2 linked regions of the Arabidopsis thaliana genome follow. The protein of the gene in region 2 interacts with the protein of the main gene of each other region in a pairwise test. Each region holds a gene or a part of one and is shown on either strand. Other genes may lie near its edges. The genes, in order: AT2G33510 and HDG1.

Evidence for each region.
Region 1: the proteins of HDG1 (region 2) and AT2G33510 interact in a two-hybrid assay, tested with the Arabidopsis thaliana proteins (one study listed by BioGRID).

The regions. Positions count from the first base shown.
Region 1 is NC_003071.7:14,192,124-14,196,158, reverse strand, and holds AT2G33510 (ATP-dependent RNA helicase), read right to left. Parts: upstream 2,010-4,035; 5' UTR 1,965-2,009; coding exon 1,755-1,964; intron 1,691-1,754; coding exon 1,646-1,690; intron 1,046-1,645; coding exon 686-1,045; 3' UTR 512-685; downstream 1-511. UniProt on the Arabidopsis thaliana protein: Negatively regulates the cuticle development by interacting with the HD-ZIP IV transcription factor HDG1.
Region 2 is NC_003074.8:22,628,562-22,635,958, reverse strand, and holds HDG1 (homeodomain GLABROUS 1), read right to left. Parts: upstream 5,629-7,397; 5' UTR 5,191-5,628; coding exon 5,020-5,190; intron 4,942-5,019; coding exon 4,733-4,941; intron 4,650-4,732; coding exon 4,532-4,649; intron 4,462-4,531; coding exon 3,775-4,461; intron 3,681-3,774; coding exon 3,582-3,680; intron 3,491-3,581; coding exon 3,290-3,490; intron 2,888-3,289; coding exon 2,710-2,887; intron 2,486-2,709; coding exon 2,118-2,485; intron 1,480-2,117; coding exon 1,084-1,479; 3' UTR 804-1,083; downstream 1-803. Other genes in the region: FUS6 (COP9 signalosome complex subunit 1), read right to left, coding at 7,064-7,240, 7,332-7,397. UniProt on the Arabidopsis thaliana protein: Probable transcription factor. Promotes cuticle development probably by modulating the expression of the downstream genes BDG and FDH, possibly repressed in a CFL1-dependent manner.

The sequences.
Region 1 (4,035 bases), on a different chromosome or scaffold from region 2:
AGACCAAAATCTCTGTAAATAGTTCACTTCCTTAACAGTCATTTTATAAGTATGCAACATAAAGTTCTCTATTAAGGCTACGCATGGGAAGGCATTTGTTGTTTTCCACTTGGAATATTTGATCATCTCTTGGAATAAAAAAAAGTTAACTATCATCTCTGCTCCTTTATTAAGCTTGGAATATTTGATCATCTCTTTTCATTTTTATCTCCATTTTTTTACCCGAGATAAAAAAATAAAAGAAAAAAGGTGTCCAAGAAAATCTACTTACAATTTTTAAAAAAGGATTCGGATGCAACAAAAAGGAAAACCATGAAATGTGGAGTCACATGTAGCAATCATTATGATTAGTACTCGTCTTTATTATTTAAGAGGCGCGCGATTCCTCAGGGCTCATTTCATTGACCAACTTTAATGCAACAACTCTTCCTCACATAGTCACATCCCATTCACATTACATTCTTTTTCAACTTGTAAAGCAAACACAACTCATTTAATGGATACCATTCTCGGAAATTTTCAGACTCATTTTAACATTTTACTGTCTGATACATTGCCTTTGAAACTCGTGTTAATGCCACTCACATGAGAAACCACTAAATTATAACAACAATATAAGATTAAAGTGGAAACCTAAACAAATTCTCATCTGAATAAAGGGAAAATCCAAACAAAGACAAGGGTTTCAAGAAGATGCAGAATGAGGTCGATCAAAGTGAAGAAGCTGTGCTGCACATTTAGGACAGTCCTCAACAAGCTTAGGAACCATGAAGTACATGAAACAAGCTTTGCAACCAGCAACCACTAGCACATCTTCTTCTTCTTCTTCCTCCTCTTCTTCTTCTTCTTCTTCTTCTTTATGATTCTCTCTTGATGATGGAGATGACTCTGATGAAGACTCTTCGCTGTCGTAATATGAGCTATCTTCTTCTGAACACACGGTTCCATATGAGTCTCCACTGTCAGGATCTGCATTCATCACTTTCCTTGGATCCTCTTTCACTCTCATTCCGTTTTTCCAGTTTATGTAGTAAATCTCTCCTGTCTAAAACAAAACAAAAAGCTCACCTCATGAATTCAATCATAAAGTGCTCTTATTACTATAAAGTTTTATCTTTTTTCTTTCTTGGCAAATTGCAATGCACCTCCCAAATTTTGGTTAAGACAAAAAGCTTTGGTCCTAGATCTATATATGAGCAAATGACTATGTACTTTTTGTATGTATGTTTTGTGGTAGTGCGGCATTGATTTCTTTAGACAAATCATTGAACATGAAAAACAAAAACATTTGTTTGTTTGTTTTACTTCCTTATGAGAATAATCATATCTAGGAGATGAAAGATTGGCTGATAAAAAGCATCAAATAGCTTTACAAAAATTATTTTGTTTTTATCCAAAAGCAAAAATCCCAGAATTTAGTTTCATGGTCAAGCTTTCAAACTTTTTTTAGCCATTTAAAATCTCTGCAAAAGTTTTCCATATAAGGCAAACATCTTTCCCTAAACACAAAGCCTGAAACCAAAAAGCCCTATGAGTAAACATTTATACGGTCTGAAGCAATAAATGCATCACAAAGATACAAGAAAAAACATTATATTAACATGAAAAATTTATCCCCCAATGTACATTTAATGCAATCCAAAACACGAAAACGACACGAGTTCGAAGTTTCTGTAGTGATTAGTTTAACCTAGAAAGCAGAAAAAAAAGAAGAAAAAAAATAGAAAGATGAATCTCATTTGTTTAAAGTTTACCTTAAGATCAAGACACTGTTCCCAGTGACAAGGAAGAGATAAGTGAGAATTGAGCTCCAATGTTCTATCTGAGATCGGAGTCATGTGTTCGTTGCTCGACGATCTCCCAAACCCATCTCCGACGACCCTTCTTCTCCGATCATTCAGAGAACAATTCATCATCGATTTCTCTAGAGACTCCGTTATCGTCTCCATGTTGGGTGCTTTCATCTTCTCTTTTTTTCTTGCCTCAAAGACGCAGAGAAGAAGAAAGAGATGAAACAAAAGAAAAGAGTTTATTATTATTTGTGATGAGAAAACTAATCTTAAGAGAACGAAGAAAACAAAAAAACAGAGTGAAGGGTAGTTTCGGAAATTTAGCATTGGTTGGTTTTGAAAGTTCACGCGCAAGTAAAAGAAGCGCGTGGGGATATTTGGGTAAAAGAGAAAGTGGACCCGTAGCTGTCAGAGAGACCAAAGTGACCACAGAGGCTCTCTCGCACTTTTGTCTCACGTCCGTGTTACCGTGTTCTTGAAAACGTATGACCATTAGGTTCACACGCGAGGGTTTAGGCGCGTGGTGTTATCGGTTAGTGGCCGGTTTAAAATAAGAGGAGAATAAAAGTTGAAAAATCTTGGGAAGGGTTAAAGTTGGTAAACCTGAGATTTTTGTTTTTAGAAAGAAGGAAAAACTCTGTTAAATTAAATATTACTATCAACGTAGATATCGAAAAGAATGCCGGAACTTCCTTTATTCTGTTATTTCGTTTTTCTTTAGCATTGCAAAATCTTACTTGATTATTAAATGAAACAACTTAGTATTTTTTATGTTATATTAATCCCATTCCCTAGATGGTAAACCGGTGTTTAATCTGAATTTTAGTTTGAGTTTTTGGATTTTTTGTTATCAATAATGGTTTTCAAAGTAAAATCTTTGATGTGATATAAAATATAAAAAGTTTGGTACAATTTCGGTTTCGAATTGGATTCAAGTTCTTATCAAAAATATTCTCAAACAAATTTACATTAGCTGTTTTTTGTGGTTGTTCAGTTCGAATTCGGTTCAGTATTTCCTTTCGGCAATTAGCACTTGAATATTTGATTCATGAGAAACTTGAACCGTCCAACCTAAATATTGTTCATGATCAACTTTATAATATCCTAAAGCCATTAAGCCTTTACTAAAATTTAAATCCAACTATGTTCTACTGTTTAATATCTACTCGAAACATCCAAAAATCTATAAATCTCCTCCTTCATCCAATGATAACTAGGACTTACCACGGCTTTCAACTCATTCAATCTAGAAGATCATTCTCGTCTACAAACATTAATTGAGATCCACAAATCACTCAATCAAAACCAGATCACATAGCCTCATACTTATATTTTTATAAATCGATCACACATTATCACTTTCATCTCATGCACGTATAGTCACGATTACATTCAATATACGATTTTTCACATAGTCTAATGCATAACACATCAATCTTCTTGCTAAGACGGTCACCTTTTACATATTCATCTAATCCATTCATATTTGAATAGAGTGAATACAACAAACTATAACCTTAATCCAATAAATATTTATAAGAATATGTTATATGTGAGTTCAAATCTAAAACTCGATGGCTAGCTTGAGGTTTGGTGCATACATCGAAAGTCAATAGCAAACAGGATGATATTTTCAGGATGGAATGACTATACGACAGCAAGTACTAACCTCGAAAATGAAATGAATCTGGCCGTGAGATGACAATTTAAAATAGCTAAAGCCTAATAATGCAATATGATGGGTGGAGCAAAATAATTGAAGAACTAAAGATTTTTATTTTAGAGAAAGTCAACCAAATTATAAAGAAAGTAAATGCAAAATGTCAACATTTGTTTTAACACATTAGAGTAAAGTATTTTTTATGTGGGCAAAGGCTCTCGATCTTTAGCTGCAATTATTAAATTTGTGAAAACTATCATATATTGATGCCTCACTTCACTCATCTTTTGAATAATAAAGCCAAGAACATCACGTCAAAAATAAAAACTACAAAAGTCAAGACCATGATCACCATGTTCCTACTTTCATCCTAAAAAGTTTACGAAACAACAATACACAAAGGAATGAAAAAGATGAGAAAAGAAAGCCAATAAATATAGTTTTCTCACCCAAACAATTGAAGACCATGTGATATATAACTATATAAGATATTAGGTACTAACATGAAGCATGCTATATCTATATAGTATGGTTTAATAGAATATTAGGTAGATGTATGTATAATTAACTTCAGATTGCATAACG
Region 2 (7,397 bases):
AACATATTTATAGAAATATCTATATATATCTCTGCGGCGGAGCGGATATAGCTTAAACTAAAAAAGAACAGATGGCATTTCTCGCCATTGGTCTATTACACAATTCCAAGACCAATCAATCATTCTCATACCCTTAATTTCTGTTCAGAGATCATCACCCCACAAGAAAAAAATGGAATTAAATAATCTGTATTAGATACGATCGTGACCGTTTGTTCATTCAACGGTGGCGATCGAACGTTAAGCGCGCGGATTATTCGGAAGTTTGACTCTTCCTTTTGACTCTTTTCTTTCGGCCCGTTTGTAATAATAATATTATTGTCGTTTGTAATAATAGTATATACTCCAATGGACTTAAAATCTAGCCCAATAAATTAGTTAATGATTGGCCCAATACACTTTGAGAAGACTTACTTGGTAGCCATAATAGAGTAGTTAATGACAGGCTTTAGATAAAAGCCCATTAGTAGCCTGTGGTCTCTTCTGATGTGACCTTTGGATCTAGGCTAGCATTATCAAACAATCTCTAAACCAACCTAATCAATTAGCCTTTCGTTGTAGTTGTCTACATTGCATGGATATAATAACTATAAGGGATTGCAACTAAATTCATGCACTCACGTGTTTCACTCTTCTTCGTTCGTTCCTTTTCCATCTTATTGAGAAAAGTACTGTAAACTTGGAACAACATTAAATAAAGGACACGGTCCAAACCAATCCTTTCACATTATAAACTACCACAAAAGTAAACACGGATTGTGCTTCTGGTTGCCTTGATTTATAACCAAAAAAATGATAATACGTTTTTGCTTATAACTAATTATTTGAGCTCCCCTAAAAAAAACTTGTGTGTTTCATATAATGCTGTCCCGATATTATCGAGTCATTACAAGAAGAGAAACAAGAAACAATTACATTTCATCGACATGATCCAAAATAAAACCGATCCAAATTACAACATTCTTTGTTTTTTTTTTTTTTTTAAATTTCATCGAGTCAATACCCGAACCATCACAAAAACGGATTCATCACAAAATGAGGTTCGTTCTTGACTCAATCTCCTCCATCGTCTGATCTCGATGATCAGGTGCTATCACAATGAAGAGCAGCTTTAATCTTCTGAACGGTGCACGATATCAAATTATTAACCGTCTCCACAGATTCCACCGTTAGCTTAGCCGTAGGCAAACTATTCACCAGTATCTGAAACGCCACCGTTAGTAACGACCCTCCTTCCTCCATGCACCCACCGTTACCAATACTGTTACGTTCCTCTGCGGCGCAGCGTTGCGTACCAGCCTGACCGTTAGGGAGAATGGCGAATCCTGAAGGAAGGAGTGCCACGTAAGCAGAATCTCCACCGTTCATCACAGCTTGCATTGCTGGGATATCAACAGGCGCGTACACGACAACCGCTCCTGCAGCGTCTATGCTTGTCTCTTGTAATATCAGCATACTACTCTGATTCGCATTTATCGCCTGCATGAAAAAATCAAAACAAAATTAAATAAATGGAAACTTTGGTGGTAGAAGAGAAAATTATAAATCCCAAAAGGGGAAACAATAAATTAAAAGATGATGAACGAGGAGACTTTTACAGTGTCACCGTCACAAGCCAGAAAAAGCTCAAGGGGTACAACGGAGAAAAGACACCAATAATGCAGAAATAAAGAGAGAAAAAAACAGAGGATTTTTCAAAACGTCGGAGCCAAAAAGGAAAGAAAAAGGTCAAAAATGTCTTATTACTATTGACTTTTATCACACAATACTTCCAAATTCTAGATTTGTCACTTTCCAATCACACGCGACAAGATTCATATGACAACACCATCCTGGGGTCACACAACACAACAAAGTCCTTTCATACACTGTTTATAGATCAAATATTCAATGTCCACACAAGTCGGTTTAACTTTAATTTATCTAAAACCAACCCAAAAAAATCAGAAAAAGTTGAAAACCGTAAACAAAAAACTAAACCGACTAAAATTTCAAGTTTTCCAAAACCATCTAATGTTTATAAAATACTAAATTCACCAAAACCTAAACTAAAATTTGGAGATTAGCTTAGCTACTTACGCATGCAAATAGAAAGTGTAATAAATATGAATGCTTACGCTGGCACGGAGGAGGGAGACGGAGTTGGAACGGTCATGGCCTTTAGCTATATGGGCCATCTCTTTCATTGGTCCACCGTTGGATAAGATATCCCATTCCGATCTAAGCCGTTCGTTTCCAAGGAAGTCAAACAACCGCCTCGGAGATACCGGCATCCAAACTGACGTCGCCGCATTTAGAATTATCCCAGGCGGCTCGCCAGGATTGTTTACACTCTTCCTAGTCATTATCCTAACGTCTTCGTCGACGTTGCCAACGTTGAGTTTGCTCCATTTCTGTAACGACGAAGCACAAACCCCTCCACAGAAATTATCAGTCATCCTCTTCGCTAGCTTTAGCATGCTTTTTCTCCCATTGCAGTTTATAGCTGTGCCCATTAATATAACCAAAAAAAGATTAATTAAACTATATAGTTTGATAATTACAGAATCAACAGCTATCATCTTTTTCTTTGTGACTCAGTCAACAGTTCATACTATTTATTAAATCTTATTTATTCTGGTAGGATAAGATATGAATCACGTCAACAACAACAAACAAATATATATTTCTACAAAATAAATCAGAAACGCAGCGTTTGAGGGAGCTTACGGGATGGATTAGTGGAAGTGGAAACAGTGGAGGACATGAGAATCGTGAGGCATTCGCATTGACGTTGTAATGCAGCCATCCATCGATGCGCACCAAACGCTAGACCGCACCTGAGTAATGGGCGGTATAAACGGTGGATGTGGTTTTCGTCATACTCCGTGTGCTCGATCCATGTTACCTGCAAATTTCTTAAACTATTTTGCGTTAGGTTTATCACAATCGTTTTTTTAGGTCTAATGTCAGCTTTAACACATAATTAATGATAATCAAAGAGAAAAACTTCTATGAACGTGTAATGATAAAAATTAATGCACGATCCAAGGGCACAGAACTCGGAGATATTTAGATGCTTCTGATCAATAAAATAATCCTACTCCAATGCATAAGTTAATTTAAAGTTATAAACCCAATGCATAAGAAACCTTTATCATAATTTCTCGGACAAAAACAAAGAGCTTGCCTGTGGTTCCTAGAGAAATGTGAACCAACCAACACTAGGGTAACTCCTAAAGGTGAAAAGTTAAAACTATACAGTATACTACTATTACAAATAATCATCACCCAGAAAGAATAATTTTACCTTTGAGTAGCCATTGGCCATGTCTTGTACGAGGCAACCGGATGGTAATCTTCTACAGCTCGAAGAAGAACCTTCTCTAATGGAATCAATTGAGACATCCACGACTGCCCAAACACCTTCCGCGTGCTGTTTACAGAACCGCAAGAACGACACTTGTCTAACCGGCACGAGTGGAGACAGCAGTTGAAGCTCTGCGTGCATCTAATTAACCAAAAACAAAACATTAAAAGACCCATTTGTTGAATTAAGATTTTATATGTGTTAATTAAATGTTAAACGCATAATTACATACCAGGTGAAGTGCACCATTTCGCCCTCCCATGCCACTAGAGATAATCTCTGTGGTTGAAGTTCTTGAGACCATACTAGGAAACATTTCCGCCCACCGTTCCTATAAAAAACATTGTATCAAAAGATTAGTACTTTCTAGAACTTTTGCTGGATTAAGCTCATTACTAAAATTAAGTGTTTTAGTAACTACTCACCGAGTCCATTAAGGTTTCAACGAGCGCTAAGCTATTGATGATAACAGTTCCAGCTTCTTTAGAAGCTTCTGAGACAAACCCATCTTGTTTTGGTCCAACACACCGAGAGAAACTTGTGTCGTACTCTTCCTGGTTCAGCACTTCAAAACCAGAATCCGAGCTTCGAACCCAGAGCGGCTCACGTGTCTGAGCCATCTTCACAAGCTCATCCATAGCCGCAAGAGCTAAATCCAAATACCTCGATCTCTGATCAAAATCACTAACACTAACCGGTTGTTGACGGTTAACCGTAGCCACCAAACCAGAACCGGTTCCATTAGAAATCTCAAATCTAGGAGAAGCTTGAGGCAACAGCGGAGAAGAGAGAGTGAAACCACCACCAACATTACATCCACCAGAACCAACACCAACGCCGAGAACAAGTGCTGAGTCCGGTATATGATGTGAACCATTAGACCGGCCAAGAAACTTACCGGTTAAGGCACAGACTCGGTCTAACTCATCTTTGAGACGAGAGTTTTCAATTCTCAGATGTTGCTCTTCCATTGAGATCTCACCGATAACGGCAGGTCCGCCGCAATTACCACACATAGGGTTTCTCATAGCTTCGCGTACAGACATATTCTCAGCTCGAAGCTTATCGTTCTCTTGCCTCAACAAAGCATTCTCATGTCGTTCGATTTGAGTCTGTAAAAACAAATCAAAAATCAAAACAAAGAAACCAGAAAACAAAGATTAGCGATTCGAAGCTAAAAACCTTCATCTGAGTACGACGATTCTGGAACCAGAACTTGACTTGACGAGGATCTAAGTTAAGTCGACGGCTAAGATCAAGACGTTGCTTCTCGTCTGGATGTGCACACTCTTTAAAAACCCTAAAAATGGAGGATTCATCAAAATCAAAAATCAAAACGATTCGTAGAAGTGTAAATGGAGATTTTGTGTATAGTGAGTTTACGATTCGAGGTCTTGAATTTGTTTAGGAGTGTGACGATGGTAACGTTTCTTCTTCTTTAAAGGTCTATCGGAGGTATCTAAATCGTCACCGGAGACAGCTTCAGCGTTATCACTTTCAGATCTGCTTTCTACATCTTCTCCTCTACTACTCTTACGACTTACGTTTGACTCCATAATCTCTCCGTTTCTACTCATTTCTCCATTTGTTTGCTGCCAAATTTACAGAGATTATCATAAGTAGTAGAAGAAGAAGAAATCGAAGATTAAAAGAGGAGATAGTGAGCTTACGAGTCCGAGAGAGAGGCCTGAAGAAGAGAAAGGAAGAGACTGAGAAGGAGCAATGGCGGCGCTTCCGAGCATGGTGTCTACGGCGGAGAAAGAGAAGTGGTTGTTGTACGGAGCATCAGAGAGTAGCTTTGAGGCTCCAGCACCGTCGTCGAGAAAACCGTTGAAATTCATGAGATTTTAATAAAGAGGGAAATATTTAATGAAGATAGAAGAAATCCGCCATGGATGAGAGAAAAGCCCTAAGCTTTGTCGCTTCGGTGCATGTCCATGAATAGAAGATAGAGATAGAGATAGAGAGAGAGAGAGAACAGTAAATGAAAAAGGTAAAGGACGATAGTAACGACGAAAAAGGAAGATATAAAAGGTTCTCTGATTTGTTTCGTGAAATTAATTTACTTCAAAAGAAAAAATAAAAGAGAGAGAAGAGAAAAGGATAAAAAGGGAAAAGAAGAAGATGTGGAGTCATGGAAAGCCTTACACAACCTTTGAAAAGTTGGGTTTGACTCTTTTGACGTTACTCAACTCTTTTTGCTATAAAAGTCCACTTCAAGTGGTGAATCAACGCTGTCTTTCTTTTAAAATTACTGTTCTACCCCCTTCTTCTTGTGCTACTTTTTATTTGTAAATCCCAATTTCATCATGGGATGTGAGATTCTTCGTTTGTTGAGCGTTTCATTTGTCAATTCATTTGTTGAGCGTTTCATTTGTTAATTCATGTATTTCGGACATGTTTATTCACGATGACTATTGTTTTTGCATCGTGAATCGTACCTAAAGAGTTATGTTTTATTTTCCATAGCGAACAAGAAGTTGTTTATATTTGTATTACTCACAGTTTAGAAAGATGGTTATTAGTCTCCAAAAATAACTAATGCAAAGATCACAAATAATGAGATCCGGTTTTTGATACACAACCTATCAATTATACAAATTACTTTCATCAATGCAACCCAAAATAAATGGAGTATTGGGGTGAGTAAATTTAGAGTTGGCCCATCTTCCAAATTTGGCGGATTCTTAACTTCATGGTTTGTGAGTTTTGAGTAAACATGGAGTTATTGCGATGCTACCTAAGACTCATTTAAAAGGCAATATCATTCAATAGTTGATTAATAATGGACTGTCCATCTTAGAATAAAACCTTTACTTACTCTAAATGTCATCGACTCATTGAAACACTTGGTTCTTACAAAAAAGTAATCTTGCCCAATTTCTCGTTTGGTTCGAATCTTGAAAAAACACCCTTGAATATTCCTGGCAAACACAAACATATAGAAATATATATATATAAGATACCTCAAACTACAAAGAGAACAACTTCAAAGAAATGCATAGAAAAGAACTACTTGCAATAGTAAAAATAATAGTACCAGATAATGTGAACTATCCCATTCAGTGATAAAAATTCTATAGAAGAAACTAATAATGATGAAACGTAGCTATCGAGTGATTAATATCAAAAGTTCTTTGACACAAGAAAATCAAAAGTTCACACTTAGTCTACATGATGCGTTTGCCGACATCAAATCTTGGTTTTGCAATTTTCGAGATTCTACTTATAAAAAAAAGACCTAACCGTTTTGATTATTATTTCTTGTAGATAAGAAAAAAAAAAGTCTTCAACTATAGAGTGACAACTGTGCACAAAGCCACAAACTATCATATAATATACGACGTTTAGTTGACAAAATGAAATGGATATTAGTTGGGAGATGAGATTTTTGATCCCACCACCCACATGCATACAAAGATCATAAATCATATCGGCCCATGAAACCAAGTGTGTGTACTTATGTCTGTACTCTTTGACCATTTCACTTTCAGTGTGATTCATGCGTCTATAGATTCACACTCGGGATTTCATTCAAAGTCCATAGATAATTCAAAGAATCTTAAACTAAAAGTTGACAAAACAAAGCGATAACTAGAGAACAGAGAAGGTCAGATAGAAAGCTAACCAGTAACTAAACCAAATTAAATTTTAACAGATATCTTATGATCTTGGAATAGGCCATTACCTCTCAGTTTAGCAAAGCAGATGTCATCAAAGTTTCCTTGCCGATCTGGCATGATACTCATGTTTCAGGAGGTTGGCTCTTAACAGCATCGCCCTGACATCTCTATCGAATTCGTTTCCCATCTGAAGTACCTTTTGGAAAGTTGCATTCCTCTGATCCGCGTGTCTTGCATAGAGGATTTTGTTGTGTGAATCAATCCTTGCCTGTCCGGGATGGAAAAAAGATTTTGCCTCTATTAAGGTTTTTAAAATGACAGTAACATAAAACAAAGTTATTTCGGGAAACACTACGGACCTGAATCTGGTTGTCTGTGATCAAGGCTTCAAGTTCTTTCTCTAGACCAGAGACGCTAGTCTTGAA